Alligator mississippiensis: one gene and its partners. The protein of the gene in region 1 purifies or fractionates together with the protein of each later gene. This does not show direct contact. Links are inferred from orthologs where the notes say so. Each region holds a gene or a part of one and is shown on either strand. Other genes may lie near its edges.

Evidence for each region. Proteins that work in one complex are often made in the same cells at the same time.
Region 2: the proteins of SQSTM1 (region 1) and NIPSNAP2 purify together in Homo sapiens (affinity purification with mass spectrometry; 4 studies listed by BioGRID and IntAct, with this or other methods). This does not show direct contact. The link is inferred for Alligator mississippiensis from reciprocal best matches to the Homo sapiens genes SQSTM1 and NIPSNAP2.
Region 3: the proteins of SQSTM1 (region 1) and TRIB3 purify together in Homo sapiens (affinity purification with western blotting; 3 studies listed by BioGRID). This does not show direct contact. The link is inferred for Alligator mississippiensis from reciprocal best matches to the Homo sapiens genes SQSTM1 and TRIB3.
Region 4: the proteins of SQSTM1 (region 1) and BAG3 purify together in Homo sapiens (affinity purification with western blotting; 3 studies listed by BioGRID and IntAct, with this or other methods). This does not show direct contact. The link is inferred for Alligator mississippiensis from reciprocal best matches to the Homo sapiens genes SQSTM1 and BAG3.

Annotation. Positions count from the first base shown.
Region 1 is NC_081832.1:74,668,147-74,675,477, forward strand, and holds the start of SQSTM1 (sequestosome-1), read left to right. Parts: upstream 1-4,323; 5' UTR 4,324-4,410; coding exon 4,411-4,606; intron 4,607-4,717; coding exon 4,718-4,813; intron 4,814-5,818; coding exon 5,819-6,036; intron 6,037-6,191; coding exon 6,192-6,348; intron 6,349-6,634; coding exon 6,635-6,724; intron 6,725-7,266; coding exon 7,267-7,331. UniProt on the Homo sapiens protein: Molecular adapter required for selective macroautophagy (aggrephagy) by acting as a bridge between polyubiquitinated proteins and autophagosomes.
Region 2 is NC_081837.1:10,248,829-10,256,359, forward strand, and holds the start of NIPSNAP2 (protein NipSnap homolog 2), read right to left. Parts: upstream 3,019-7,531; 5' UTR 2,812-3,018; coding exon 2,735-2,811; intron 395-2,734; coding exon 255-394; intron 172-254; coding exon 126-171; intron 1-125. UniProt on the Homo sapiens protein: Protein involved in mitophagy by facilitating recruitment of the autophagy machinery required for clearance of damaged mitochondria.
Region 3 is NC_081832.1:1,754,598-1,762,543, reverse strand, and holds the start of TRIB3 (tribbles homolog 3), read right to left. Parts: upstream 3,019-7,946; 5' UTR 2,920-3,018; intron 1,874-2,919; 5' UTR 1,862-1,873; coding exon 1,589-1,861; intron 1,329-1,588; coding exon 1,036-1,328; intron 803-1,035; coding exon 346-802; 3' UTR 1-345. UniProt on the Homo sapiens protein: Inactive protein kinase which acts as a regulator of the integrated stress response (ISR), a process for adaptation to various stress. Inhibits the transcriptional activity of DDIT3/CHOP and is involved in DDIT3/CHOP-dependent cell death during ER stress.
Region 4 is NC_081829.1:87,292,509-87,299,547, reverse strand, and holds the start of BAG3 (BAG family molecular chaperone regulator 3), read left to right. Parts: upstream 1-4,021; 5' UTR 4,022-4,092; coding exon 4,093-4,269; intron 4,270-7,039. UniProt on the Homo sapiens protein: Co-chaperone and adapter protein that connects different classes of molecular chaperones including heat shock proteins 70 (HSP70s), e.g. HSPA1A/HSP70 or HSPA8/HSC70, and small heat shock proteins (sHSPs), e.g. HSPB8.

The DNA of each region.
Region 1 (7,331 bases):
GACTCTGGGGGAGAAAGGAAAGTGCTCATGGGATATAGGTGAGTCAGAACAATGAAGTAGGCAAAAAGCAGGGGCCCTTTGAGGGGGTTGTGGATGACAAACAGGGCCAGCTTGCTTTTGTTGCAATATTTTAATTAGGAAGGAGCAGGACGCCATCAACAGCAAACCTAGCATGACTCAGCACACAGCAGGCAGGAGCGGGGAAACCCCGCATGGTTTCTGGTCCCCTTCCCTGCTCACTCCTGTTCAAGTTCTCACTGCTCACATTTTGAAGCTTTTCACTACGTGCCCCTCCCGATCTTGGTGGGTGCGTAAAGGAGTCAGGGGCAAAAGTGTTCAGGGCATCTGTGGAACGTGAGAGAAAGCCTCCAGCCCCTAAACCAAGGGCAGGCAATTATTTTGGGTGGAGGCCCGCTTACTGAGTTTCGGCAAGCCATCGAGGGCTGCATGACGGGCAGCCAGGGGCAGATAAATATTAATTTTCTAAATTTTTTAGGGGCCCCGCGGGCCAGATAGAATGGCCTGGTGGGCCGCATCTGGCCACCGGGGCCACATTTTGCCCACCCCTGCCCTAAACAAATCTGCAGGGAACAAGCACCCTCTCTGCACCACCTGGCTAAAGGTTAGTAATAGCCCAAAACAGTTGATGTTGGAGGGCAGTTTGGTGCCTGTAAAAAAACCTGGATGTTTTAAGACCATTTCCTAGCAGATAAGAGCCCAGTTTACAACTGGCCCCTTACACAGCCTCAGGATAGCGGCAAAAGAAGGAAGATACATGCAGAAGGAACTAGAGTGACCTTGTCAGGGAGACCTGGGCAGAGAGGCCCGTGCTATCCATGCTGCCTCTATGCTATGGATAAATAGAAGACAAGTCTATTAGCCATGACAAGCCAGCAATTTTCATCAGTCCCAAATTTGACAGAGGGGAAAAATGGAAAGACTGACGAACTTGTCCCTACTTCCCCCCCACAGTGTTTTCAATGTCTAGCGCTGTTAGCACCGTACATGTGTTTACAAACCTGGCCAAAGGTTCAATGACAAACATCCCACCATTTTCCTGCTCATGTGTTTAAACATTAACTCATTGCTTCAAGTGGGATCATGGACGTAAACCAGTAATATCAGCCAACGTAGGCTACTTTAAACAAAAAGCAAGTCATTCAGACTACTCTAAAAATAAATATTCTTCAGCTAAAAATATGGCATTGGGATTTGAAAATGACAGCTTTTATTTTCAAACACTAAATTGATTTACCTGGAAAGCGGATATATTTTGCAGTCTGAAAAGACATTTTTAAATATTTCCCCATCTAAAAGACAGAGCGAGAGAGATCAGATCTTTTAATTTAAAAAACCATTTAATTAATGACAAGGCCTCTCAAGCTTCTCCATTATCACAGGTTAAGAATGATATCACTAAAATTCAGGGCAGTGGGCCTCCAAAATGAAAGGAAATTAACATTGACCTGATACTAATTGATTTGTCTTTATGTAATTTTACTTGGAAGGTACAGACAGCATCTTCTGCCAGCTGGACTCTTGTCTGACCAGATTAAGAATCCTGTCAACTGTGTCTGATCTGAGAATAGTGCTGCCAACAATCCTGGAAAGTCCCCAAAACGTCATCCTTAATGTCACTGATGTTTATGCTAGCATCTATTTTTAAACCTCCAAATTCAGGCTCAGGAGAGATTGTTAGCTAAGGAATTATTCTAAGCTCATGTAGCATACAAGCCGGCAGGGGATGCTGGATACATGGTTGGATTGCTAACCCACCCTAAAGTTTGCAGTGCCATGTCTTTGCAAGCGTTACCCTATGTAGTGAGATGAAAGCTAATGCCAGTGTACCAGCACTATAATAACATCTGTTTGCCACGTAGACATACCCTTGGAAAGCGTGTATTAAACAAATGGAGAGGTCTTGTTAATTAACATACTCATCTTTTGGATTTCATAAAGCAGACTGGATTTTGGAGGCCCTCCCAACCAGCCGTCCTGACTAATATTGCCTTGTGACCTGATGGGAGCAGTGTAACCGTGTCAGTGCTAAAGGATGCTGGATGCTGTGCTTACGGCAGAACGGAGGTACAGATGTGACCATCTCTGTGACAAGGGCCCTGGGGTATCGTGCTGTAGCACAGCACTCGTGTCTCCATGCTGGAGGCTTGTGGCTGCCGTGTTGCTAAAAAAAAGACGTATCAATAATAGACTCAGTCCTCGGTGTAGGAGGCTCCTGGACGAGGGACAGATGTTGCTGCATTCCACTAATGGGGCTTAATGTTGCTGACAAGCCCCGGATAGCAGAACCGACTGCCAGCTGCTGGAGAGTGCTGCAGACTTGATAAGTCACTCCCAGGTGAAGTGAATCATATTTCCATAACACGAAGTGCTGGAAACAAGTATGTCAACAGTCACGCCTACACGGCCCTGTCTTGTGGTAGAGCTGTCTGTGGACAGCAAACACCCTTGCTTTTTTTCTTCTTCTTTTTTCTAAACACTCAAACCTATGAATTCTTCCATGCTAACGGGTTGGGTTTTTCTCAGTATGCAGGGAAATGGGACATGGAGTGAAGAAGTCCTTTAAGAGCAGGATTAAGCCAACAGGAAGCTGCTGGCCTTCACTGGAGAGAGGAAAAATAATTTGGGAGCTGGAAGGAAAGAGAGGAAGAAAGAGGGGAGGAAAACAGAGTGGTGAACACACAAGGGAGTGCCGGGATGAAAAGGCAGCGGGAGGCAGAGCATATGAACGCTGTGCTCAGTCCTGGTTTCCAAGTCTTGCAAGCTGCTGCAGGATGCAGAGGGGCTGGGGGAGGGGCAGGATCCAGCACACGGCAGCCCCTGCCAGGGCGGATCCAGGGGCGCACCGCTGCACCTGCACCCCTTTCACTTCTGCTCCACCCAAAGTTTCAAACCAAGTACCTGGCCGTGGCACCAGCATTTCTAGTCCGGCAGTTGTCTTCATGGCTCCTTGTCACCTACCTGATCCCTTCCGAACTCTCCAGTCCTCAGGCCTTAACGACCCCTCTCCCCTTCCCAGTGCCCTCATGAACCAGCTATCTGCCCTGCTCCCCGGCACCCAGCTTTGACCTTGCAGCCCCGCAGGCTGGCTTTTAACACCTGCCAGGGCCCTTCCCCTTGCTCCAGCACAGCCCTTGAACTCCAGATTGATTCTGAACGGGACATAAGTGAGGGCCGCGTGGGGCGGCGAGGCAGGAGACAAGAACGGGACACAAGTGGGGACCGCGTGGGGCAGCGAGGCAGGAGACAAGAACGGGACACAAGTGGGGGCCGCGTGGGGCGGCGAGGCAGGAGACAACGGGACACAAGTGGGGGCCGCGTGGGGCGGCGAGGCAGGAGACAACGGGACACAAGTGGGGACCGCGTGGGACGGCGAGGCAGGAGACAACGGGACACAAGTGGGGGCCACGTGGGGCGGCGAGGCAAGAGACAAGAATGGGACACAAGTGGGGGCCGCGTGGGGCGGCGAGGCAGGAGACAACGGGACACAAGTGGGGGCCACGTGGGGCGGCGAGGCAAGAGACAAGAATGGGACACAAGTGGGGGCCACGTGGCGCGGCAAGGCAGGAGACAACGGGACACAAGTGGGGGCCACGTGGGGCGGTGAGGCAGGAGACAACGGGACACAAGTGGGGGCCACGTGGGGCGGCGAGGCAAGAGACAAGAACGGGACACAAGTGGGGGCCACGTGGGGCGGCGAGGCAAGAGACAAGAACGGGACACAAGTGGGGGCCACGTGGGGCGGCGAGGCAAGAGACAAGAATGGGACACAAGTGGGGGCCGCGTGGGGCGGCGAGGCAGGAGACAACGGGACACAAGTGGGGGCCGTTTGCCCCTCACCCTGTGCGCCCCTTTGGCGAAATTCTCCAGCTGCCCCCAGCACCGGCATGAGGCGTAGGGTGGCCATTGTAGAGGACAGTCCGGTTGCCTTCTGCTGATGTGAATCTGTCCGCCTGTATGCACTGGGAGGTGTGGAGGGGCACGTGCCCCCCCCAGAGAGGCTCTGCCCGTGCTGGCAGTGGTGCCCGCGGGCAGATGGTGACTGCTCCACCATGGCCGGGGCACGCGCGGCCCGTGCCTTTGTGCGCTGTTTCCCTGTCGCAGAGCCCCGGCCCCGGCCCCGGCCCCGGCCCCGGCCCCCCGCGCCCAGGCTGGGACCCGGCGAAGCCACCCCGCCCGGCCGCTCCCCGCTACTGCCCCCGGGCGGGCGGGCGGTGCGGGGGCTGGCCCGAGGGGGCGTGGCCGCGCAGGCCCCGCCCCCGGCGCTATAAGGCGGCGCGGCGGCGGCCTGCCCGCAGTGTGCGCTGCTCGCGGCCGGCTCGGGGCGGGTGGTTACAGTCGGTGCTGCGGGGCCTTGTTGCTGCGCCACAGGCGGAGGCGGAGTTGGAGGCGATGGCGGCGGCGGCGGCGGCGGCGGCGGTGACGGTGAAGGCCTACCTGCTGGGCAAGGAGGAGGCGGTGCGCGAGATCCGGCGCCTGGCCCTGCGCCCCCCGCTGCGCTACCAGCCGCTGCGCGACCGCCTGGCCGAGCTCTTCCCCGTGCTGCTGCGGCCCGGCGCCGGCGCGGCCTGCCGCCTGCACTACCGCGGTGCGTGAGTGACCCCTCGCGCCGGGCCGGGCCGGGCCGGGGAGGGCCGGGGGCCCGGGCGGAGGGGCCTGGCCGCCCGCGGGGGTCGCTCACTGGGTTTCTCTCTCGCAGATGAGGACGGGGACATGATCGCCTTCTCCAGCGACGAGGAGCTGGAGCTGGCCTGGCCCTACGTGAAGGACGGCATCTTCCGCGTCTACATTAAAGGTAACTTCTTTTTCCCCCCCTCTTCTCGAGAGAAGCCTGGAAACATAGGGCGTGTCGTGGGCGCGCCGGATGCAGCCGGACCCCGACTCAGTCAGCGCGGGGCTGCCCATGTGCCTCCTCTTCCCGCGAACAACTGCCGGGCGACGGTGGATCCAGACGCTTGGCAGGTGTCGTGGCTGTGGAGGCTGCAGCCTCCGGGCACGGCTCGGTGGGGCTGGACGGTAGATCTAGCGCGGCGATTTGAGACGCGCGGGAGCCTCAAAGGGGGAGCGAGACTTGCCTCTTTCGGGAGGGAACAAATACCTCGCCAGGGGAAAGCAGTGTCATTTGGAAATGTGAAGCCCCAAAAACTTTTTGGGCCCCTTAAGTCCAGAAAACTGAAAAAAAGAAACAAAACCGAGTTTAGCTTTCTGCAAAAGTAAATGGAGAACCTCCTCCCAGTTGAGCGCTGTCTTCAAACTATGGTTAATAATAATACTGATTATTATTTCATGTTTCTCTGGATAATAATATAACTCTGATGTTCACCTATTTCAGAGAGAGAAACCTTGGGGGCACGTAATCTGCTAAAATTAGATTGTTTAGCAGTGCTAGAAACTAGCAATACAAGTAATACCCATACAAGCTAGCGGGGCAAGGGCAGCTTCTTCCTCAGTGCAGCGTGGACCGTGTCCAGTGACACAATCCTGTCCAAAAAAGTGTCTCCACAAGGAGGATGTACGCTTTCTTGACTTAGTCTTTCTGGCTTTGTTTCATGTTGCCCTCTTCAGCGTTGCGTTTCTTCCCCAGCTCTGTGCTTGCTGCTGGCTGGTCCCCAGATACCCGAGCATTGTTGAGGGCGTGCGTAATGCAAATGACCCATAAGCTGGCATCGTGGACACATTCGGCTCGTGTGGTCCGTGTACTAATGAACTCCAAATGTAGAAAGCTTTGCTGAGTCTTGTTTCCTAAAGGCTTAAAATAACCTGGCAGCTTCCTTGTAACGTAGAAACTCTCACTCTTTAGAGAAAAAGGAGTGCAGGCGTGAACATCGCCCACAGTGCAGCCAGGAGCAGCCCCCAAATGTGGTGCATCCCAACGTCATCTGCGATGGCTGCGAGGGACCGGTGGTGGGCGCTAGGTTCAAGTGCACTGTCTGTCCAGACTATGACCTGTGCAGCACCTGTGAGGGAAAAGGCCTCCATAAGGAGCACAACATGGTCATGTTCCAGAGTCCGTTTGAGGTGAGCAGTGTTTCTGCTGTGGAGAGGGACTGGTGCAGGGGGTGTCCAGAGGAGTTTGCAATTCCAGATACTGCATGTAGTTGCATGCTGTTGTGTGACTTGTGTCCAGGATGTAATCCAAGTATGGGGTCAAATGACACTGCAACTTCTTTCAGTGGTTCCCACGAGGTCGCTGGCTACGTAAGATGAGGCACGGTGCTCCTCCCTTTGCCTGGATGCATAGCTGGGGGTATCCAACTCCTTCAGCTCCGTGCCAGAACTCTGGGCAGGAGCAAGCCAGTACGGCACCGGAAAATCCAGCCCCTGAGCAAGGTAAGAAGGGAATGCTCTGCTGAATGAAGTGCTCGGACTAGTAAAGGTTTGATAAGTTGTTGCTGCTGTGGAGTGGGCTGGAGTCTGTGTTGGATGGGAGTGGGGAGGAAGCGCTAGGTCTCCATTTCGAATGCAAACCTGCTTGAATTGCACTTCCCTTGGATGGTGGGTGGAATGGGTTGTCTAAGCCTGCCAAGACCCGGCTTTTTCATTCCCTTGAGGAAAGTGTGCGTTTGGCACCTACCTGCTGTCTTGCATTAACAGAAGTTGTTTTTTTTGTTTTTAGAGCCCTCTACTAACAGCCAGCCTCAGGACCCCAATGTCACCTTCCTAAAGAATGTCGGGGAGAGTGTTGCAGCCTTTCTGAGTCCCCTGGGTAAGTGACTTTTTTTAACTCGCAGTTCTCAAATCCAGTGTTGGGGCTTGCTCCTATCTTGTACCAAGAGGAACAGTGGCATGCCTCTGCTCTAGAAGACATCCGAGCCATTTCTGGCTCCAGTCTCCCCATAAGGACCCAAGGGTGTCCTTTCTTGCAGAAGTATACTACACAGTGGTAAAATGATAGCATTTAACTGGGAAGAACCTTGAGCTAACTAGGTGACTTAAGGCTGCATCTAACTCCTGTGTTAGTGCATGTAACAGCTGCTTGCTCATCCTTTTAAATGAGAATGGAGAGCAGCTTTTTCCTGGCACAGGAATGGCTGGCATGTGCTTCACTTAACATAAAAGCACACTGAAAGCTTTCTTTTTTAAATTTTTAAATCCCCTGCAGATGAGAAATGTCAAACAAAATGATAACTTGCTGTTTGAGTTCAGAATAACTAGATTCCAATGAATGTGCTATCTTTCAGGGGACTTCCAAGTCTGTAGCTTGTATGCTAACTTACTGATTGCTTTTCCCTCTGCCTGGTTTCTTAGGCATTGAGGTAGATATTGATGTGGAACACGGAGGACAAAGAAGCAAAGTGACCCCCACCTGCCCT
Region 2 (7,531 bases), on another chromosome or scaffold:
AAAAAGTAAGAACAGGGGTTTCCACTTTCTCATAACAAAGCCAACCCAGACCAGCCAGCTTTCAGTGCTCTCCCCCAGAACAAATTAATATGTCCAAAATCACAGTGAATAACATGCACACTTACCAAAGCTTGTTGTAGGCTTCTAAGCATTCTGGCTTTACATTGTGAACTGAAAAAAACCCAAAAAAGTCAATGAAAAATACAGGAAAGGAATAAAGAAAATAAACTGTTAAATATGAAAACATCACTCACATTGTATTTTATACAGACTGCTGGTCTCCTTTTTGGCTAGAAGATTGGAGTGAGCATCTTTCCGGGGATCAACTTTGCGAACAAACAGTGATTTTAACCAGCTGTCTTCACCGGCTCTGTTAGTTGAGGATACCAGTCCCCTACACATTAATGGAATATGCAGTCACTGAGTGTTCATTCAAAATGTGAGGATTGTTGAAAACAGCTGAGATAAGTTTAAATCAGTCACATTGTATCTTATACAAAGGTATGGTGCTAATTTTTTCTATTATCTAATCTCTAGCAATGCAACAGGTGCATGTGTACTCAACAAAGCACATCCTTACTGTAAAGACATCCCTGGATGGCCCAGAACTGCTCTACCTGGCCTAACACTGCCCCTCTTACACCCCTTGCATGCAGAGGAAGCAGGAGCACAGCAAGCTGTGGGTGAAGTGCTGCTGTGCTAGAGCCGTTCTTAGTTGATGCAACGGGCCCATGGACTACTACAGTCAGACACACATTTAGTATCCTGGAGCTGTTCTAGTTTATATCAGGTCTCAAGACAATATGTGGCATAAAACCCTGCCTGTTCCTACACTGATCATAGCCGTGCCAAGAGAGAAAACTAAGGCTACTCTGTCTTTGCTCAAGCACAATGTGGAGGTCTTTCATTTCTTGGAGTCTCAGAACAGGAGAGACTCCCTATGCCTGATGAAGGGTGACTGTTGTGCCTGAAAGCTTGCCAACATTTTTTTTCCAACTACTCAGTTGGTCTAATAAAAGATATCACCTCTACTCAAAGAACCTTGCCTGCCTAGGTCTTTCAAGAAACCCATAATCAACAGGAAAAAGGAGGTGCAGAGAAGGCAGTATGCATAAACAGGTTTGTCCACTGTGAATGACAGCAAAAACACCATGTGTGTTATGGCATTTTATAAAATAAATTTTTGCAAAAGACAAACTAATGCACCGCCCCAGAGAAGCTAATTTGGAAATGACTTAAAGAGTGGCAGGGGCCCTGAAGCCTGCATAGATTTTAATTCAGAGTAAGAGCAGTTCTAATGATCAGAATACAGATTCACTGTCTTTGCTCAGTTTACAATTTTTCTTGCTCTGGAACAACTGCACTGACTTTGATGGATGAAAGCTTGAATAGCATGTTTGAGTGCTCACAGAATTGATACACTCAAATTAGCTATTTATGACTTTATTACAACAACAAACAATAAAAACATAACAGGTAATCATGCTCTGAGTACACTAGAGGGACTTTTTCTTTTCTAATTGGCAGAAGGCCACCTCAGCTACCAGATGTGATTCATTAGTTCAGTTCACAACAATAGTAATGAGCTTGCATTGAAAGTGAAAAGCAAACAATAAAAAGCATTCATCTTATGCTGATTCTTTATACTGTACTTTTCCTCCTTGTCACCATTAGAAGTATTTTGTTCCTCACTCTTCCCTTTTCCCTAAATAATTCTGGCAAGTTTGGAATGCTTAAGAGACATCACAACCGGAGGGTTAAACCTCAACTGATTCCTCCAGCCTCAGAGGACAACTCTCCTGCTTCTAATCAATGCCTGGGAGACCTATCAGGGAGTTCCTCTAAATCAGGGGTGGGCAAAATGCGGCCCGCGGGCTGGATGTGATCCGCCAGACCATTCTATCCAGCCCGCGGGGCTCCTAAAAAATTTAGAAAATTAATATTTATCTGCCCCTGCCTGTCATGCAGCTCTCGATGGCTTGCCAAAACTCAGTATGCAGCCCCACACCCAAAATTACTGCCTGCCCCGGGTCTAAATGAATTACTGTCTTTCAGGTTCTCAAAAGGCAGTGAAAATCATTAAGGAAAAAGAAATTGGAAAAATAAATTTCTTTCATAAAATCTTTGAGCCAGTAGGCTTTCTGCATCTTAGAGCAAGAGTAAAGGAATTTATTTTAACATGCTTTGCAGTTCACTTATACAGACTAGATTTGGGCATTTGCTTTTGAGGAAGCAAAAAACACGTGATGGCAAGGGAAAGAACAACTGGGAGCGAGGTGACCTTCAACATAAAGAAGTGAGTAAAAACCTCTCAGTGCTCCACTTACTGGAGACTGCATTAATTTTTTTTCACTGTAGCCAAAGAAACAAACACTCTATTGTGTAGAAGTTATACAGCTTTCCTAAAAGTAAATATTTAAAAGGGTGTCTTGTACCAGAAATACTGCTAGGGCACGGAGGGCTGGAAGACATGCATTCGTTCTGTACTCTTCTCTGTCCCCATACGCACTGCAAAGGCTCACAGGGCATCCATGAGTTGTGATCCCACCCCTGAAGCACTTCCTTTGCTATTTTGGGGGGAGTCATTTAACCACCCTGCTTTATTCCCTCCCCAAAAAACCCTCTCTCATAGTTAAGGTTAATGAGTATTTATCTTTCATGGAAGGTGTTGTGAGGAATGGGTAATAATATTGGTAAAACAGTGAAAATGAAAGTGCTCAGCAAGCATGTTTACCTCCTTATCTGTATATGAACTTTACCACTATTCACAGAATTTGTGGTTTGATGTGGCCAGAAGCTTAGGACAGTCATTTGGTGGGGGTGGAGGCAGTTTTCTCAGTTTTTCAATGAAATGGTCAAATGAGTAATGTTTTAGAGCTGCACTGAATCTTTCAACCAAGAACTGGAAAGTGCTTTAGAAACAAGGCATTATTATTGTTGTTTTGTTGCTGTTGTTATTCCCATCCAGCAGAGATTGGCAACACTGACATTTCTGAAAATGGGTGCAGTTTGAGACAGTTAAGGACTGATTTTTTAATCAACACATCTTCTGATAAATCATGTCTTTTTAAACACGCACGCTCAAAAAAAATAAAATACATTTTGTAGCGTAGTTCCATAGTTCTGGAAGACAATGTCTTATTCTAGAATAAATGCAGTTACCTTCAGATAAAACTAAATGTTTACACTACAAGATAAATTCCACCCCAGGGGGTATCAGGAGTTTCCCACTGTTTTGAAGTGCTTGTGTTTGGGCAGAAAAACAGATGCAAAAGGCTATTTAACCCACAACTCCTTTTAAAATTTGTTGGGGGAAAAGGTGAACACAATTATCTGCATTAACAAAATAACAGCTTTAATTTCCTCTAACAGAAATATTATAAGGCACATAATAGGATTATAAACAAAATTCCAGTTTAAAGATCAATCCGATTCTGGAGTTACAGTACAGAAGCAGAGAAAATAAAAAGCATACAGAGTATCTGAACTTTAACCTCGTGTAACCGAACAATAACGCTCTTCTAAAGGAGGAAACGTCTGCTGCCAAATGTCATTTCTGGAATTAGATCAAAGTGTCCCTAATTAGTACAGAGTGAATTTGCAGGTCACATTCAATCGGTGCGGTTTTTGGAAGGCATCGCCTAGCTCGGCACAACGGGGAGAACAGGATCCCGTAGCTCGCTGCTACGAAAGAGGTCACTGGGTCACCTGGTCCCATCTTCTTGCCGGGGGCATCCCGGTTTCCTACTACTCTGTCCTCTATCCATACAAAACCCGATGCCTTTATGTCCTCTGTTTTTCTCTTGAAAATAAAAATAGAGGATGCAAAGGCATCGGGTTTCGTACCAATGGTCCCAGCCTAGCATCCCAAGTCGTACCCCAAGTCCCGGCCTTATGTCTTGGAGACACAAATAGAGGACATAAAGGCATCGGGTTTCATATCAACAGAGGACAACCGGACCGTCCTCCGCGATGGCCACCCTACTTCGCACCAGCGCAACCCCAGCGCACCACGACTCAGTCCCCAGCAGACCCTCGCTTCCCGCCCCGCCCCGCCCGATCGTAAGGGAGCTTCAGGCTGACCTCCGCGATGAGCACCCGCGTCTCCAGCGGCGCCCCCAGGCCCTGCAGGGCCCGTCAGACCCGCTCCTGCCGAGGAGAAATAAACACCCCCCCCCGCGAGCGGGGTGGGCCCGGGAGCCGACGCGGGGAATAAACCAGCTCCTCCCACCCCCGCCATCCCCACCCGCGCGGGGCGCGGCGCGCTCACCTGAGGGCCAGGCCGCGAGGCCCGGCCGCCCCCAGGCTCGGCTGCAGCAGCACTCGGGCCGCCATCTTGCTCCGGCTTCCGCCCCGCCCCCCGCTTCCGGGCGGCCGCAGGGGGAGCCCCGCCCCCGGCCCCGCCCCCAGCTCTCCCCCCGGCCAGGCTGGAGGAGCACGCGGTGGGCAGCCAGGCTCCGCCCCGCAAAGGGACTAAGAAAAAAGCAACCCCCCCCCCACCCCCCACAGCCATGCAGCATCGCCTCTGTGCCAACGCCAGAGGTTTCATCGCCCTGCACGACAGACTGCGGAAGCAGGGAGCTAGGGGCTGCCTGTCTCCCACGGATCAGACCCGGGAAAGAGTCACGGGCAAAACACCAGCAAATGTTGGGCACTGCCAGGCACCAGCCAGCACTGCTTTGCTGGTGCAAATGTCTGCGTACGCGTACGCCTGCTGCCATTGGGGCTGGGAAGAAGCAACTTGGCAGGAGTCTGGGAAATACGTCTAGGTCAAAACCCTGCGCAACGTGTGTGTAAAGAGATAAGCTTCAAGGCTTCAATGCTTTTCAAGTAAAAAACAAGGGCTGGGTTGCTTGATGCAGCCTTCCTCAGGAAAGAGAAGTCACCCTCCGCAGAAGGTGTAATGTTTTCTTCCTTCACCTCTTGCAGTAGCACTAGGGCTTCAATTGACCCAGACCCCGCGCAGTGTGAAGTAGCATTACCTCTTAAAATAACCTTAAAAAAGAGAGACTAACATTTTTAGAAGACTTTTTTTTTTCTTAACTAAGTTTTCTTTTTAAGGGCAGAACTCTAAAAACACACAGAAACCTAGATGAGAAATTACTACCTTGAAGTAATAGCTGGATTTTAAGATTATATTATAAATAGCATCACATAGTCCCTAGTAGGTGCGTCTACACAAGATGCTTAATGCCCGGTAGACTAATTCTACTGTGCGTTAGCGCAGCTGGCAAAATCCATGCTAATGTGCAGATTAATCCAATACGCATTAAGCATCACCTAAAAAGTGTTCCTCTACGCTAATGCGCAGTTGCAGTGATTATGGTGCATTGTTAGTATCTGTTTCTGCATAATTATGGCACATGAATGAATGTGTAGACAGTAGATATCAATTATACAAAAACTAGTTCTCATAAAGATGCGTTTTGGAAACAGCAGTGGTAAGATACGAATACACAGGTCTGTCCCCATGACCGTTCTTTCCTTTGGTTTATCAGCCAACAGGAGCTTCAGTAAAAGATCTATTTGCTGGGTATTTTTCCAGACCAGGGAAAAGACCTCCAAATAGCAAGGATGTCAACTGACCTTGTTCTGACCGAATCAATGCCACTTGGTAAAGTACAGAAAGAAAATACAGAAAGACAAATTCACTAGTGAATGAAAACTATACCAACATCAGATCAGAACGATATACAGCACTGCAACATTTTTGCTAAGATAACTATTCTGTAGCTGTGCTCACTGATATTTAAGTGAGGCTAAGAGTTATTTTCATCACCTAATAGCTACTCCTGAATGCCCAATGGTATGGAAAAATTTGACTTGCTATGAGTTTAATTTTTGTTCACAGCAACCCAAGTCACTTAACTTTTACTTTAAATGTGAAATAAAGAGTTTCACTTTCCTGGGTGCATAATGATTAGATATTACTGTAAACTGTGTGAAGACGCATCCAGAAATGTGCATGCAGTGTCCTTCAGTATCAATGAAATGCGAAAGCATGGTGTTGCAGCTTTGGTCGTTATTGATAAGTATTACAGTTATTTTTTATTAAAAATAGCTTGCCTCAGATTGTTTGTGGGTTACTATCGTATTTAGATCTGAACAGAATGAACCACCAGGCTAAATCTCCAACAGCCTGAAGTCACAGCTCTACAGTTCACTTGATTTTCTGGTTTGTCTGCTAGACTGAAAAAGATCATTACAAAAAAAATTTTGGGTGAACCCCAAACATTTTTCAGCTTTCTGGAGGCAAATAAAAATAGTCACTTCCTGTCAAAAATGTTTTGTTTCACGTAAACTATAAACTGTTTTGTTTGGATTTCAGGCATTTTTAACGAAGGCAAAGGACACTAAAACAAAGGGCTAGACCTACAAAGGCATAATCCCTCTTCGGCTACGGAACAGCTAGTGTGCAGCACTGGGCACACTGCAACCTTGGGAGACAAAGCTTTTAATTACAGAGCAAGCCCTAGTAGGGCAGGAATGAAGGACTAATTGGAAGGCATATAAATTAGAGGGCGGCTTTTAAACTCCATAGAGTAAGGCTGAAGTAGGCACAAGTGACACGATACTCCTATTTGGGCTGCAAATAAAAATCTATGGCAGGATATACACAGGAAAATCTATGCACCTATATAGAGGAAGATTCCTTTTCTGGTATGTTCTTCCTATGGCATCAACATAGGACCAACACATGCAGCCTGCAAGCCTTAAGTCTAGGTCCTGGAAGAGAGTGTCCCTGCGCTTTCAGCATAGAAATTGCTATTAATCACAGCAGCAGAGCCCTACAGCCCTGCTCTATCACCTGCCAAGGGGTGCTCAGGTCTCCAGGCAGCCTGGAATTCCAGCAGCACAAAGTCAGCTTTAATCTCCAGTCGCCACAGACTGAACTTTCTGCATTACAGCTTTCAGAGTATCAATCCCTGTATCTCTTAGCAGGATTTGGCACCTTAATTAGCTTTTCTTATTAGAAGATTAAGACTCTAAACATCTCTAATTTCATTTGCAGCACTGCATTCACAACATTTTCTTGTGTGTGTGTACTTTGTAACTTGTCTGTCAGGAGCCGGATACTTATTGGCAGCTTAAAGGGATATATCTTGCAGTTTATCGGTGTTAAATACATATCCACTTTCCCTTTGTTTTTGGAAGTTAGCTGAATTATAAAGAACTAATTTTTCCTTGAAATGTGGCTTTTATTGTACTGTAACAAAACTTCACTGACTTCAACCAGTGCTGGGTTGGACTTAGCATAAACTTACAATGAAACAGTGGCATAGCTTGGCAAATTCTCTATGGGATCCTTTCCACAAGTATGTCTAATAATAAAGCAGCCAACTTCAGCGTGGTGAACCAGAAAAAATACGCAGTTTAAATGAAGACAATTGTCACTTATTTTATAAGTGGATTTCTGAAGGTATAACACAGGCATAGTGACATAACTGGTATTACTTCTTTTAAAGGGAAAAAGGGCACACACATGGCTAGCTTTAAGCTTTCTACACTTCCTTCTAAAAACTTTAATAAT
Region 3 (7,946 bases), about 73 Mb from region 1:
GCAGACAGTTCTTTGGCACACGTAGGTACAAGCGGGGCACTCGGGGCGGGGGTGTCATCACAGTAACCCCGTCCTCCCTGAGTCCGAGGTGTGGAAAGTGTGGGCAGCTTCCTGACGGGCAGGCGTGGGGACGACCCGGGTCTGGGCGTGGATGTGGCTGGTCCCCAGGTCTAAGGCACGTGGGCGTGAGTGTTGGCCGGGCACCCGGCCAGGATCGAGCCTGAGCTGCAGGCGCCCCTGGTGCAAGCTGGGGCCCAGAAGCCATCCCCTGCCCCTCTCACTTGGCTAGCACGTCCTGAGGGCTTTCCAGAGGCTCAGCTGTACAGGTCTTCCTCCTGCTCCTCCTCATCCCTCCTGCCCGACGTTCGGCACCACTTGGTCCAGCCCCTGCCTCCAGGAGGGGCCGGAGCAGGGCTCCTGGGTGGCACCCCCGCCGCCGGCGAGCCAGGGGTGCAGCAGGATGCCTGGGGTGCTGAGCCGCTCCGCCGGGGCCTTGCGCAGCAGGCAGCGGATGAGGCACCGGGCGCGGGGCGAGAGGCCGCCGGGGATGGCGAAGGCGCCGTGGCGGATCTTGCTGAAGAGCAGGGTGGGCTCGGCCTCCTGGAAGGGGTAGCGCCCCACCAGCATGGTGTACAGCACCACGCCCAGGCTCCACACGTCGGCCGCCTTCCCCGAGTACCGCGGCCTGGTGTGGAGGATCTCGGGGCCCACGTAGGCCGGGCAGCCATGCTTGTCCGACAGGGCGTCATCGGGGCCGCTCAGGACACACGCGTCCTCCAGGCTCTCCAGCACCAGCCTGGTCCTGCGGGTGTTAGCGACCAGGGTCAGCACGGCCAGAGCCCCCGCCGCGGCCGGGCAGGCGCCAGGAGCCCGGGCACCTGGACAACATTGTGTCCCCCGGGCAAGGACCAGTCGATGGCAGGTCTGATGTTCGCTGTGCCCCCGGCACCCCGCAGCCTGTGCCCGGCTGGAGAGGTGCATTGAGCCTCCCCCCAGGCCCAGCAGCACCCACGCCCCGGACCCGCCCCGCCTCACCTCTCCCGGTCGGCAAAGACGAACTTGCGGAGCTTGAGGTCCCGCAGGACGATGCCGTGCTGGTGGCAGTGGGCCACGGCCTCCGCCATCTGCCGGAAGAGCGCGGCGGCCTCGGCCTCGGGCAGGCGCTTGCAGCGCCGCAGGTGGCTGTGCATGTCGCCATGGCCAGGTGGGAAGAAGATGTAGGCGCTGCGGTCCCCCTGGATCACCTCGGCCACCCGGGCCACGCTGGGGTGCGGCGGGAGCCGTCCGTATGGGGCCATCGCCTCCTGGTAGCTCCTCATCGGGTAGACCTGGGGGCAGCGAGGGTGGGCATGAAGGCGCCAGGAGCAGGGTGGGCTCAGCTGCCTTCCCTGCCCCATCCTCCTAGGGAAGTCCAGTTCTCGCCCAGGCCAAGCAGGGAGGCTCCACATGCAGCCAGGGGTGGAGAGGCCTGCAAACCCCGGGCCATGCAGGGTCACTGCCCCCGGTACACCCCCCTGGCAGAGCCAGTCCACGGGAAGCGCCAATGCATGCGTGACCCGAGCTCCAGAGCCCTCTCGGACCTCCGTACCTTGCAGCTGTACTCGGCCTCCGTGGGCCGGTGCACGGCGCGGTAGGAGCGGCCCCCGTCCCTGGGCTCCAGCAGGACGTACGGCCCGATCTGCAGGACCCTCGCATCATGCTCCTCGGTGCTGGGAGATGGGGCCAGAGGTTGTAGGCAGGGCACAAATCCTAGCAGTGGGCCCAGGCGCGGGCGCTTGGCTTCGGGGCTCTTGGCATCCGGGGCCTCTCCCGAGTCCAGCCGCTTCTTGCCGAGTGGAGCTGTGCCGAGGATCTTCAGCATGGTCACGCTCGTCTGTGCGGGCGAGGGTGGCACAGGGTCACACTTGGCAGCTGGCCATGACGAGGCTGGGTGGGACGGGCAGAGCCTCCCGAGGGGCCCTGCTCCCAGCCCTCCGCCCCCCTGCACCCACGGCCCATGCAGACAGCCCCAGGCTGCTCTTTCAGCGCAATCAGCCTGGCCAGGCAGACCTGGGCACCGAGGGCAGCTGGTCCTGATTGTCTTGGGTTGCTACAGCCCAGGGAAGGACCCCCGCCTCTCCCCCTGGGGAAGGGGAGCGCCTGTCACCACCATGGGAGCACGCGTGTCAGGTGGTGAGCGTGTGTTGGTGCCATTTGATGTCATGGTATAATCACAGCCTGGGGTGGGATGGGGCAGGTCTGCCTGGATCACCATGACGCGGTGTTTGCATGTGTTGGTGTGTGCGTGTGACCTCATGCTCGGTGTGCCTCTGGGTACGAGGTCATACTGTGTGAGGCAGAGGTGCGTGTCAGCTGGCTGGCATGTGTGTTGCCATGACTGCACACGTGTGTGTGTCATCATGGGCTGCACGTGGGGGTGTCCCAGTGCTGGGGGGGTGTCATCATGGTCTGTGTGCCCCTGGAGACCGGCTGTGCCTCACCCCGCTGGCATGCGTGTCACCATGACCATGCTTGCGGTGCTCACTCATGGTGTGTGTATGTGTGTGTGCACGTGAGGGGGGCGTGGCTCTCCCACTCATGGGGTGTGTGTGTGTGTGTGTGTGTGTGTGTGTGTGTGTGTGTGTGCGCATGGGCACCTGTAGCTCACACTCCTGGTGCATTTGCCTGTGTATGTGTGCATAGGTGCGTGCCTCTCTCACGGTGTGCGAGTGTACGTCTGCGGGTATCTGTGTGGCTCCCACTCATGGGGTGCGCGTGTCTGTGGCTCTCATGGTGCGGGGGGGGGGGGGGGGGGCCGCACGTGTGTGTGTGCATGGATGTGTGGCTCACGCTCCGGGAGCGAGTTCGCGTGCCCGGGCCCCGCCCCGTCCCGCACCGCCCCGCACAACCCGCACCGCTCCGTCCCGCCCGGCCCCGCACCGCTCCGCACCTCTGCGTCCCGCGCCGGAGCCGAGTGCCGGAGCTCCTCGGGAGGCTGATGCCCGAAGCGGCGGCGCTTGCACCGCCCGCCCCGCCCCGCGCCGCCCCGCCCCGCCCCGCCCCGTGTCTTGCGACACCCCCGCGGCCCGTTGCACCAGCCCGGCCGGCTCGCCGCTCGGCCCCCGCGGGGGCTGCCAGGCCCGCCCCGCCGGCCCTTGCTGCGGCGCCCCCGGGCCCCGCTCGGGGTTAGCCCGGGGGTGCCGGGTCGGGCGCAGCTGCAGGTCCGGGCAGGCAGCCTCCTCCGTCCCCGTCGCTAGCGCTGTCCCCGCGCCGTGCCCGGCTGAGCCCGGCGTGCGCGCAGGGCCGACCGGCCGGCCGGACCCTCCCCTGGCTTGCGGCGTCCGGCTGCTGGAAGCCGGGCTGGGTTTTTACGGGGTCACGCTCTCCTCGGTTATTTCCCTACCCCTCACAACCTGTCTCCGGAGCTTTCTTCACCCCTTCCGCTGCCCGGGCGCCTGGGATGGATGTGGCGGGCAGCGAAAGCAGCTGTCCATGTGGGGCTCACAGGCTTCCCTTTGCCCTGCCTTCCTTCGCCTGGTGTCTGGCTGCTTCCCTGACTTGCTCCACAGCCCTTTCCAAGTCCGCGTGTGCCCAGAGACAGCACAGCGCCCTGTCCCCAAGGATTTGGCAGACGATGGCACGGCCCCAGAGCCAAGGCCACCGCCGCCTGGGCTGGCAGCACTCAGCAGTGCCTTGACTTTGACCTCGTGTTGGAAGCACGTCGACCGCCCACGGGGCGCGAGCCGGGCAGGGGCTGGCCACTGGGCCTGGAGGCAGCTGCCCTGCTCCATAGGAGGGGCCGTACTGCGGTGATTGTGGAGGCCAAGGTCCCCTCCAGACCCCCGTTGCTGGGGATTTGGGGGGACCCGGGCCTTCCTGCAGCACTGTGCCCATCACTGTGGTGCCTGGGCCCATGCCAGCCCTTGGCTCGGTGCTGGTCTCTCTGACGCCCCCCGCCCCAGCTGCTGCCTGCTGATAAAGACCCCAGCTCCCCCGTGGGCCCAGCCGCCCCCTGTCCCCGTGAGCGCCGCCCTTCCTTCCCGGCCCCGCTCGGCCCCTGCGCGCCTTGCGCCTGGCGGGTTTCCAGCCCTTATCGCTGCAAGTCCGACACAGGCTGCGGGCTTGTGTGGGCTGAGCTCTTATCTCGGCACAGCCGTGGGGGGCGTTGTGCAAAGCCCCGGCCCTGGGGGAGCAGCACCGGGGGGCTGTCAGGGCTGCGGGGAAGCGTGTAGTTAAATGTGGGGTGTGGGGGTGCAGAGAGCTGTTTCCAGCCCTGTGTCCGGCTACGGAAACTGAGACACGGGGCCACTCTCCATGCTCGTGCACTTTCCCACCCTTGGTGTCTCCACCAGCCAGCCCAGCACCCGGAAACCTGCTGGCTCATCCCACCCGGAGGAAACAGGCTGCTGTGTCTGCATCCCATTTGCCCCCACTGGAAGCCACCCCAGGGCTCTGGGGCCATGACTAGAGCTGGCACCGCTGAGCCCAGGGCTACCCCGTGCCACCTCCATGTCCCTTCTGCCTGGAGCGGAGATGCACCAGGATGCACCATGCAACCCCATATGGGGCTGGCATTTGGGGTGCCCGGCTGGCTAGGACTGAGACCCATCACAGGTGGCTGAAGTCCCCACTGCTTCCAGTTGGCTCTGCCCTATGGGTCCTGGAGCCCTGTGGCCCTGTGGGCAGAGCCGTGGGTTTCCCAGAACAGGCCCTGGCAGGGGCAGGGTTTGCCAAAGAAAGGGAAATCCCAGGGCAGGCTGCAGCAGGCCACTTCTTCCCGGCAAGTGAAGCAGGGGTGAGCCGGCTCCAGCTTCCTTCTGCAAAACCACGGCGCAGTGCTGGGAACTGTCCTGGGCAGAGGCTGGGCACGGGTGTGGGGCACAGCAGGGGTCAGGGGGCAGCTCACACTGCTCCATCCTCCCCCTGGCAGCAGAGGAGGGCAGCCGTGTGCTCCTTCCTATGGCATCACTCCAGATGCAATCGCAGCCACTGCGACCAGGTCCGGTGAGCTGGCCGCCCCCTCCGCAGCGTGCCCACACCGGGCTCTGGTGAAGCGCAGCTGCTGGAGATGCTGGTCTTACAAGGGGCAGGGGTCTGTGGGCCGGGGCAGGAAGGAGAATGAGTCTTCCTCTCTCCTGCCCGGAGCCGTGCTTCCTCCCTTCCCTTTGCTGTTTCGGGAAGGCGTGGGTGCAGCTGGGAAACCCCTGCTCCCAGCGGTGATGCAGAGGCAGCTGCAGCCACAGCTGGAGGTGGCCTCTTCGCCCCGGGAAGTCCGGCCCCGTCTGCTTCCGGGGAAGTGGTGCTCCACTCCCCTGCCCTGCCTGCCTGTGCCCGTCTCCTCCTGCTCTCAGCCTGCTCTCCCCCGGCTCTTGCTGCTGGTGCCAGGCCAGGAGACCATGCCCTTCTGGCTCTGGACTGTGCCAGGTCAAGCTTGCAGCTCCCAGGGGTGCCTGGGCCCCAGCTGCACTGCGCATGCTGGTGGGGGTAGAAGCTCACCGCCCGGGCTGTCAGTGCATCTCGGCGAGCCTAGATGCGGGGTACTGCCCTGACCCGGCCGTGGAGCAGCCAGCCCCTGATGCTGCCACCGAGGTGCCCAGGGCTGAGTTGGGCTCATCCTAGAGACCAGGCTCCCTGCAGAGCTGGGGTCCAGCCAGCAGCGCTTGGGCTGGGGGGATGCTGGAGCCTGTCCTTGCCCCGGGTCTGGTGCATCATTGGCCCCTGGTGTCTGCAGAGCAGACGGGGCTGAAGGAAGGAGAGGGAGCAGCCAGGCCAGGCGCTGCCTTTGACTCATGCCCAGACCCCGACAGACTGGCAGTGGGCTGCCGTCTCCTGGGGAGCAGGAGGGAGCCAGCCTGGGCTGTGCGAGGGACAGGCCACGCAGATCCTTCTGGTGCAAACAGCCTGTTCTCCGCGGCCGGGGCTCTGAGGCTGCCCCGCTCTGTGCCAGCTCCCCAGGGAGGGTGTCCAGTCCACGTGGGCTTTGCCAGCCCAGGCTTTGTCCTGCTGCTTTTGTGTTCGCCCAGGGGAGGCGGGCACAGGCACAAAGGCAGTACCTGGGTGACAAGCTTTGCCATCGCTCTGGGCTCAGACAATGCCCCAGCTGGTGTCAGAGGGAGCTGTGCCCGGGCACGGGCTGTGGGAGCTTTGCCTGGCACGGGACTCCACACTTCATGCTCCGTCCCCGCTGGCTGCAGAGCAGAGACGAGGGTTTGCAGGGCCCGGCACCGGGTCCCCTTCTTCTGCCCCTAGCCTCATGCTTCAGAGCAGAGCTCCCTGTGCCTGGGTGAGCCCCGGGGTGGCACCGTCTGTGTGCACCGCACCCTGCTTGTGCTCCTGGCACCCGGGCATGGGAAGGAGCCAAGCTGCCCCAGCATGGTGCATGGCATGGGAAGCATGTGCGCCCCCGCGTGACCTCTGCGTGTGCAAGTGTGTAATAAGCAGGCCCAGCCTGTCCTGGAAGAGCAGGCTGGGGAAGGGGCCGCCGTGCCACTGTGGAGAGACCTCTGTTCCTGCCCACCCCAGCTCCACCCTGCATGTCACCTGGCTGGCAAGCAGCCCGGGTACTGCTGTGCCAGGCACGGAAATGCATCTCCCAGCCGTGCCCTGGCAAGCACAAGCAGTGGGCATGGCCGTGGCCTTTCCATGCCAACACACCTGGCACAGAAGAGGGTGGCTGGACGGGCTGGGATGCAGACTCTGGAGTCCTACAGGCCTTGAAGCCGGTTTGACACCTGTTCCCTGCGCCGTTGCACTTGGTCCCAGACGCCCGCCCCTCAGTCCCCTGCTCCTCTCCCGTCCTGTCCTTGTAAACCCGGGGTGCTGAGATGCCCCCTCCAGCTGCCCCTTATCCCGCTGCCTGCCAGAGGTATGCACATTGCATCAGAAGGGGCTATGCAAGGAGCAGCTGGAGTGCACCAGCGTGGTCGGCCAGGCCGTGCCCCGCATGCCCCCCACATCCTGCTGCACCAAGGAGGAGAGGGGGCAGCGCCTGGCCCTGCAATGGGCGAGGAAGCTGAAGGGCAGACAGGCCAGCCCGGACTCATGCAGACAGCTCTGCTGAGACCCCCCACCACTGCCTTGCTGCCGGCTCTTGCAGGGGCTCCCCGGCAGCCTTAGCAGCATTTGGGGCTGCAGCGTGGGGCTGAGACAGGAGAAGGCTGGGGCTGAGCTCTCCTGGGGAGCAGCCCCCGCTCTCTACCCTGGGAGCTGGCTGCAGCTAGGCCTGCGAGCGTGTTCCTCCCTGCAGCAGGAAGGCCCCTTTCCCCATGCCGGGATCTGGCTGCTTACCACGCTCCCCCCCTGGCACCCACCAACTTCCAGCCTCCACTTCCTAGTGCAGCCCTAGGGCCAGCCCCTTTCCCACGGCCCTGGGGTCAGATGCTCGCCCTGGGCTCCATGCAGCCACAGCCACCCCTCCCGGGGCCAAGCCCAGCTCCCCGCACGCACCAAGGCTGCCAGTGGGCAGGGGGCTGCACTCTTAGGCCTGGCATGGTGGGGACACTGGGACCCTTGCAGGTGCCAGGCTGCTGACCTGCCTCGGTGTGCTGGTGTCTGCACCAGGGCATGCATCCCCGCGGGGCAATGGCCTGACCAGCTCTTGGGCAGGCTGGAGCAAGGCAGAGCTGCAGCCAGTCACTGGGGGGGGTGCAGGGCATGCAGCCCCTCACCTCCGGCTGCCCCCCATCCCTGGGAGGGCAGGAGTGCTGGATGCATTGTGCAATCGCCTGCAGCGTTGCAACACACGGCCTCCCCGGCGGTTATGCAATGCCCTGGCTACCTGCCTGGCCCAGCCTGCCGAGGGGCTCGTGGGACAGGATCCTTCTGGCACCAGGAAGCGGGGCCTGGCATGGCGCCATGTGCCACACGTGTACAACTACAGGGAGGGGGTAGGCGTGGAGAGGGCACAGACATGCGACCTGCTGGGGGGGGGCTGCCCCCCTGCACCCCAGCTCTGGCCCCCAAGCTCA
Region 4 (7,039 bases), on another chromosome or scaffold:
ACTATATGCTCAACTACAAAACAGGACATCAGTCCCAACATTTTGCCTTCTGCTTACATTATAACAAGCATTAGTTATCTGCATATCTGTTAAGTGCATAAGCTGATTACTCTTAAGTGCACAAGAACAGACACACTGTCTAGTTCAGTGGTCACCAACCTGGGGATCCTGATTTACAGGTACATCTCAAAACCTCTTTTGATAAATCCTTGGCTGGGGGGCAGCTGGGCATGTGCGCACGTGCACACCCACTGCCCCCAGCTTCAGCAGGGCAATATGTGGGGTAGGGAAGGGGCAGGAGCCAGATTGAGCCCCCATGGTAAGCAGCTGACCGTGCGGCCCAGCCAGGAGCAGGGGAAGATAAGTGGGGCCCCAGCCCGGCTGGGTGGTGGGAGGATTGGAGCCTGTGGGGGGTCCTCTAAGGGCACGGGGGGGGGGAGGGACTCCCACCCATTTCTTCAGGGGCGGAGGTGGCAGAGGCTGCCATCACTGTGCCTTGAGCCCTGCTGCAAGGTGGCCACATGTGAGTGCAGCTCAGCTCAGCTCAGCAGCGGGGACTCACATGGGGGTGGCCCTAGTCCAGCTGGGTCTGGGAAGATCTGGTCATTCGGAGGGGGTGTGTGGGGGGGGCTCCCATCGCTGGGCACAGCTTAGCGGAGGCCCTGGGGGCCCATGCCTCTCCCCCACCTGTGCTCGGGGTGCAGCGGGCAGCCCACAGCAGCAGCCGCCTCATCCCAAGCACAGGTGGGGGAGGCATGGGCCCTTGGGGCCTCTGACAGGCTGTGCCCAGCAGCAGGAGCCCCTCCCCACATGCTCCTGGACCACGGAGACTTCCAGACCCAGCCGGGCCAGGTCTCGATGCCACATTCCTCTGGCTGCCAGACGGGTGCAGCTCAGTGCAGACGCAGCACAGAAGTGGGATCGGACCCTGACCCAGCAGGGTCTGGGACACTCTGTGGTCCAGCGATGCATGGGGCAGGGTGGGCGTGTGGTAGATCCTGGGGTGCCCTTTAGTTCCAAAAAGTGATCTTCACCGCAAAAAGCTTGGAGACCACCGGTCTAGTCGGTAAGGCAGCAGTGTCAAAGACGTGGCCCGCAGCGTTCTACCTTCCAGCCTGCGGTACTGCCTGTGGGTGTTAGACCGGCTTGAGGTGGGCTGCCCTGCCCCTGCAGGTGCTAGCCCCAGCCCTGTGCACTGCATGAGGTCCACAGTCAGTCAGAGAATGTGTCACTTATGGTACAAGTGACTTGGTCACTCTGGATTGGCCCCGAGTGCCGGATCTGATGCATGGGGCTGCTCTGTAAGCCTGACCTGGCTTGTGGAGTAGCCCTGCACACCTCATCCAGCCCACAGGGCCAGATGAGTTTGACATGTGCAATAAGGTAACCATACTGCCTTTCACTGCATATATAACGAGGACCCATCAAATGTGAAGGCTTCTAAGGCAGCCAGTCCTGAACTGACAAGGCTCCAGCAATTTCAAGACTGCTACTAAAAGCATAAGTAGGGCTGGACTGTTGTAGCTGTGATAGGAGAAATATGGGCAAAGCAAAATTATTTATGATTATATCTTTTATTGAACCAAGTTAATAAAAGGTATGACCAAAAAACCTGTGTTTGTTGCATTAGAGGAATAAGGCGCTCTGAGAAACAAGGTACCAAGTCATAAAGAGGTGTGAAAAGATTAGCCCCTGCTGTTATTGTACCTAGTGAGTATTGGTTGAGCTTGGATAAATATATGCTCTCAGTTACTGTGTGGGGTTTTTTTTTCCATCCTGAGGTTACACACTTAAATGGAGCACAGGTGGACAGGATGAACTGACATGGAAAAATTACACATTTTACAAGCTAAAAGTTGTGAACCAATCTGTGGGATCTAAGGAAGGGATCATAGAGTGACTGCCTAAAATGTTAAGCATTGGATATACTTATTGAGATATGAGATCTCAAGCTGAACATCATCCACCCTTCTTCCTAATAGAAACCCTAGCCACAAACCTGGAGCCACAAACCCAGTCAAACTAGGGCTGGATATTTGGCTGGTCAAATAAAGTGCACTCAATTTACTGGTCACATATTGGTCAAAAATTGTAAAACAATTGCCAATAGGTCCAAATAATACACAGGAAAAAATTCATTAAGAAATGTCTCAAAAAATTGTATTTCTGTCAAGAAAACCAAAAAAAGTGTTTTTTGTAAAATTGCTTTAATGTTTGACTGGTCAAAAAATATGCAGTCAGTTGACAATATTTGACTGGCTTGTCAATCCTAAATCAACTAGATCATAGTCTTCAAACAGGTGCGTCTGTATCCACAGAGCCATGGACCATAACAAGCCCCTGGAACATGAGACTGTAACTTGGGAGGAAGGCTTACAGAAACCCTCCTGTAAATCGGTGGATCCAATTAGGGCTAACGACTTCCAGTTACCATGGTTATTATGTATTTGTATTTCCACATCAGTTGGGAGCCCCAGTTATGTACCAGGATCCCTTGTGCTTTGTATTTATAGGTAAGTGTGCTTTGTACTTACTATTAGAAGGAGTAGAGGAAAAAAAAGAATAATATTCCTCTAATGATATAACATAGCCTTATGGAGTGAAAACAGGAATTAAAGCCTTAGAGGCAGGTTCTGCCACTTATGTTATTTTCATCTTCAGTCCTTTAGGTTTTGGTACTGATGGTATTAGATACAGCAGAGAAGACAGATCTAGCCAATTATTCAACAAACACCCTGATATGATAAGGTTGTCAGATGTAAATGCAATTTTAGCAGATCAAGTCAGGATCAATAAGAGCATGGGCAGGACAATCTGCAAAGAAATCTTGGATGGAAAAGATTCTGATGCCAACTGCAATGATACCAATGTGGGGATGCCAGTCACCCATGTAGGATGCGGGACTGAGTTAAAAAATGTGCTTCTCCAGACTCATATGCATCATAACACTATAACACAACTTTGAAGACCCTGATCTAAGTGTACCAGCATGATGAGTCTTTGCCTTTTTTGTGACTAGTACTGGGGACAGGGCTCAGTGTCGAATGATGCCTGATCTTTTCTGTCTCAAGCAACAGGTGCCAGGGCCCAGGAAGGCTGACAAGTAGGAAGCCACTTAGCAGCCGGCCTGTCCTCTCCAGGTCTCTTCTCTCCTTTAGGCCGGCGGCATGTCAAGACTCCAGTTTCGCAGAGCTGGATTTTGCAGGCACACCAAGCTCAGACCAGGCACCTAGCGCATCACAGGCCTCCCAGGCCTGCGCTCACAAACCCCCCTACCCAACTGACTGAAGCTATTCTGGGAGATTTTTTTGGCCAACGTCGTTAATTGTACTCATGAACGCCACGTGCCCCCGGAGGCTGGGGGGCCCGGCAAGCTCCCGCAGGTGGCGGCGGTGCTTTTCATGGTTTCATAACTAGGGTCAGGAGGGGCCTGAACAGATCATCTAGCCTGACCCCTCCACGGGCAGGAATGAACGCTGGGCTCACAACACCCCAGACAGGCGATCATCCAACCTCCTCTTGAATTTGCCCAAGGTAGGGGCGAGGACCACCTCCCTGGGAAGTTTTGGTGGCGGTGGCAAGCGTGGGGGGTGGCACAGCGACCACCCGCAGGCCAGTAACAATCGCTGGCAGCGTTGGCACAGGGGCACCGGGCACCTTTTCGCTCAGGGGGTGCACATGCACTCGCCTGCACCCGCTGCACATCGCCAACCATCCTACTGCACGGCTTTCAGATGCATGCCGATCTACCCAGCAAGACAAGTTACACAACCCTGCCTGGCAGAGACCTGGCGGGGGGAGCCATCAGCCGCCGGCTTGTCCCTAAAGCGCAGCCTCCAAAAACAATTGGGGTGGGGGAATGCATTGAAGTTTGAGCGCGGCCGCGCGGCACCGCTGCGGGGCGGGGGGTGGCCGGGCTGGACGCCGCCAGAAGTTTCCAGCCGGGCCGTCTCTCCTCCTCCTTCTCCTCCCCTTCCCCTCCTCCGCCGGCCCCTTTGCGCCGAGCTGCTATTTCCAGACCCTTCCACCCCCTCCCTCCCCGCCCGGCCACATAAAGGCTCCCGGCCGCGGTGCACGGCTCGCACCGCCCGCATGAGCTCCGCCGCCGCTGCCGCCCCGCAGCCTCCCGCGCCGCGCATGGAGGGCAGCGCCGAGCCGCTGCCGCCGGGCTGGGAGATCAAGGTGGACCCGCAGACGGGCTGGCCCTTCTTCGTGGACCACAACAGCCGCACCACCACCTGGACCGACCCGCGCCTGCACGGGCCCCAGGTACCCGGCTCTGCCCTCCGCACTGCGGTGCCCGCCGGCGCCCGCTTGCCCGTGCCGAGTCCCGAGTCCCGAGCGGGTTTAGCCGCCCGTGCAGCGAGAGAAGCGGAGACTTGGCACGGGGTGGGTGGGTTTGTTTCCCCTTGTCCTTCCCCTCCGCCTGGCTGGCTGCGCGGCTGGGCGCTCGCCCCTGCGCTCGCCGCTCCTAATATGTCCATGAGACGAGGAGCCTCCAGAGGGGGAAAGAAACGCGCCTGGGGGGGTTTCTAGGTGTCCTTCCTTGCCAACGGGTCTTTTATTTGTTGTTGCTGCAAGGCAAGTCCCTCTGATGGGAGAAGGCTCTGCCGTGCCAGTGGGGGGTTGCGGGGTTTATGCAGCTGCCAGGAGAGAAGGAGCTGGAAGGAGGTGTTCAGAGACCGGTGACAAAACAGCGGGCGCGTCTCTCTCCCTGTGTTCACCCGGCTTCGTTTTGGGTGCTGATCCCGTAAACTTTAGACTTTTGCAGACATTAGGGCTAGAAGGGACCTCATAAGATCATCCGGTGCGGCCCCGACCTTTGCCCCTTGCCTTTTACTTCTGAACATCCTCTTAAGTAATGATGGTAAAATAGGACTGTCCTGGCATTAATGTCGGTAATGACATTAGTACCGTCTCTGGGACGGGGTAGGACATCGGAGGAAAGGAAGCTCCCAGAGCTGCTTAGGCCTGTGCTGAAAGAAGTTTGGGTGGACGCTTTGGAGCCGCACATTTGGCCGGCAGCCTGAAGGCCTGATTGCTTCAGCTGCCAGGGAAGGTTCCTGACGCTTTGGAAACTAGTTGGAACTTCCAGCTGTTGTCTCAAAATGGTGCGGCACTAGCAGGACGAGGCCTGGAAGCGAGCAGGCTGCTGCCGGGTAGTGAAACATTTGGATCATCATGACATGTGCAAACTATTCTGGCGGTCACTGCTGCTTGGCTGTTTTATCAGGGCCATGGTAAGACTTAGGGCCTCTTTACTGAAAAAGGATTGTTGCCTGGGTTGACACATAAACAGAACCCATTTAAAGCATCTTAGGTTTTTTTTAAATTATATTTGGAAGAGGCCTGGAATGTAATCTGATAAACTAGCCTGTAGAAAGCGAATTTCTTTAGTAACTTTTTTTTTTTTTTTTTTGTATTTGTAGTCTTTCATAATGTAGTTTGAAGTAATAAATACAACAGATGAACACGGCATTTTAAATAATGGAGTAAAGCTAGCTTTTTCCTACCGTTTTGAAAATGTAGATCCAAGAACCCAACAGAAAAGGAATATGGTGCTAGACAGAAGTCAGAGGAAATTATAGTCCTTTTTTCAGTGTTAAGTGACTTCTAACCCCACTGGTATAAATGAAATGACATGGTTCAGAGCCAGCGGGAGGGGAGGGGTTGTGTGTGTTTTGTTTTCGCTGCTTTTTTTTTTTGTAATCTAAAATTTTATTGAATGCGGCAGTTCTACCCCCCAAAAAAATTCATTGCTATCTTTATTTTTGAAAGTTTTCTTTTTCAAAGACATATTGATAAGTATTGTTTAACGTCAAAACAATTGTTTTTTTACACCAGTGTAAAGATATCATAGAAAAATATAGTTCAATAATACTGTTAATATTAAATTAAAAAAAATAGAAATAGTTTTAACTTACCTTCATTCAGAATGCCCTCCTACTGTACAATGTGACCCCACACTGGCACTGCTGCGAGGCATGTAATAAATATTTTAAGTTTTGCGCAGTTTTCAATTGTTTTACAGTTAGAGTGCCTTATTTAATGACTTATGTCCTAAACATGTTATCCCTTGGGAAACTAAAAGGAAAAAGTCTGTATTTCAGCTGTTTTTGATCATGCAGAAACAGGACAGTCTTGAACCAAGGTAGTGGATCAGTGTTCTTCATCTGTGATTGAAACCTAATACGTTCTCAGCCCTATTTTATCTTGGCACCTGGGATAATGAAAAATGACACCTTTCCTGCAATGTTTCAAGGATGCTGTTACAAATAGTAGTTTAGGAAAAGGAAAAACTGTATCTTCACTGAGAAAGATACAAACGGGTAATTGCACCTGCCTCTGAGGAGCAGTTATGAAATGACCAGGTTTTCCAATTTGGAAAATAATTATCTATATTTCACAAACTGTAATTTGTATGCTATGGGTTGTTCATCCTGACACAGGATAGTGCTTTCAAACAAGAAAAGGGGAAGCTGTTGATCTTGAATGCTGTTCTCTTATGGGCAAAACGACAACTTCAACTGATATTAATACATCTTTTGCTTATATAATGTTCTGATACAGGCCTTGATTTGGGTCCATTTCTAAATCTTTGCTTCCATTTAGTTTAGGAGTATTCCACAGTAAGGTACTACTTTGCTTTGAAAAGGTCTCAGAATTTGACCTCAAGAAAATATTTTTTTGTTTTCTGAAGTGTGTGCGTGAGTAAAAGTATCATCCAAAAAAATAATGATTAATCTTTACTTTCACACTCAACTCTACGCACAGACTTTCTGGAGCCACATTTTAATTATGAGCCTTATCATAGTGAATGAAAGGAACCAGATCAGTTGTACAGGCAGGAAGAGAACACTTTTCAGAGTGTCTTCTAGTGGTTTCTTGATATCTAGGATTAACTGAAGACTGTAGAACTGAGATGCTTGCTGTTTGCCCTGCTATAATACAATTAATCCTAAAAGGACAACATGTTAATATTTCAGTGATGCTTTATCATTTTGATAAGTTCTTAAAAGCAGTTAATAAAAACATTGAT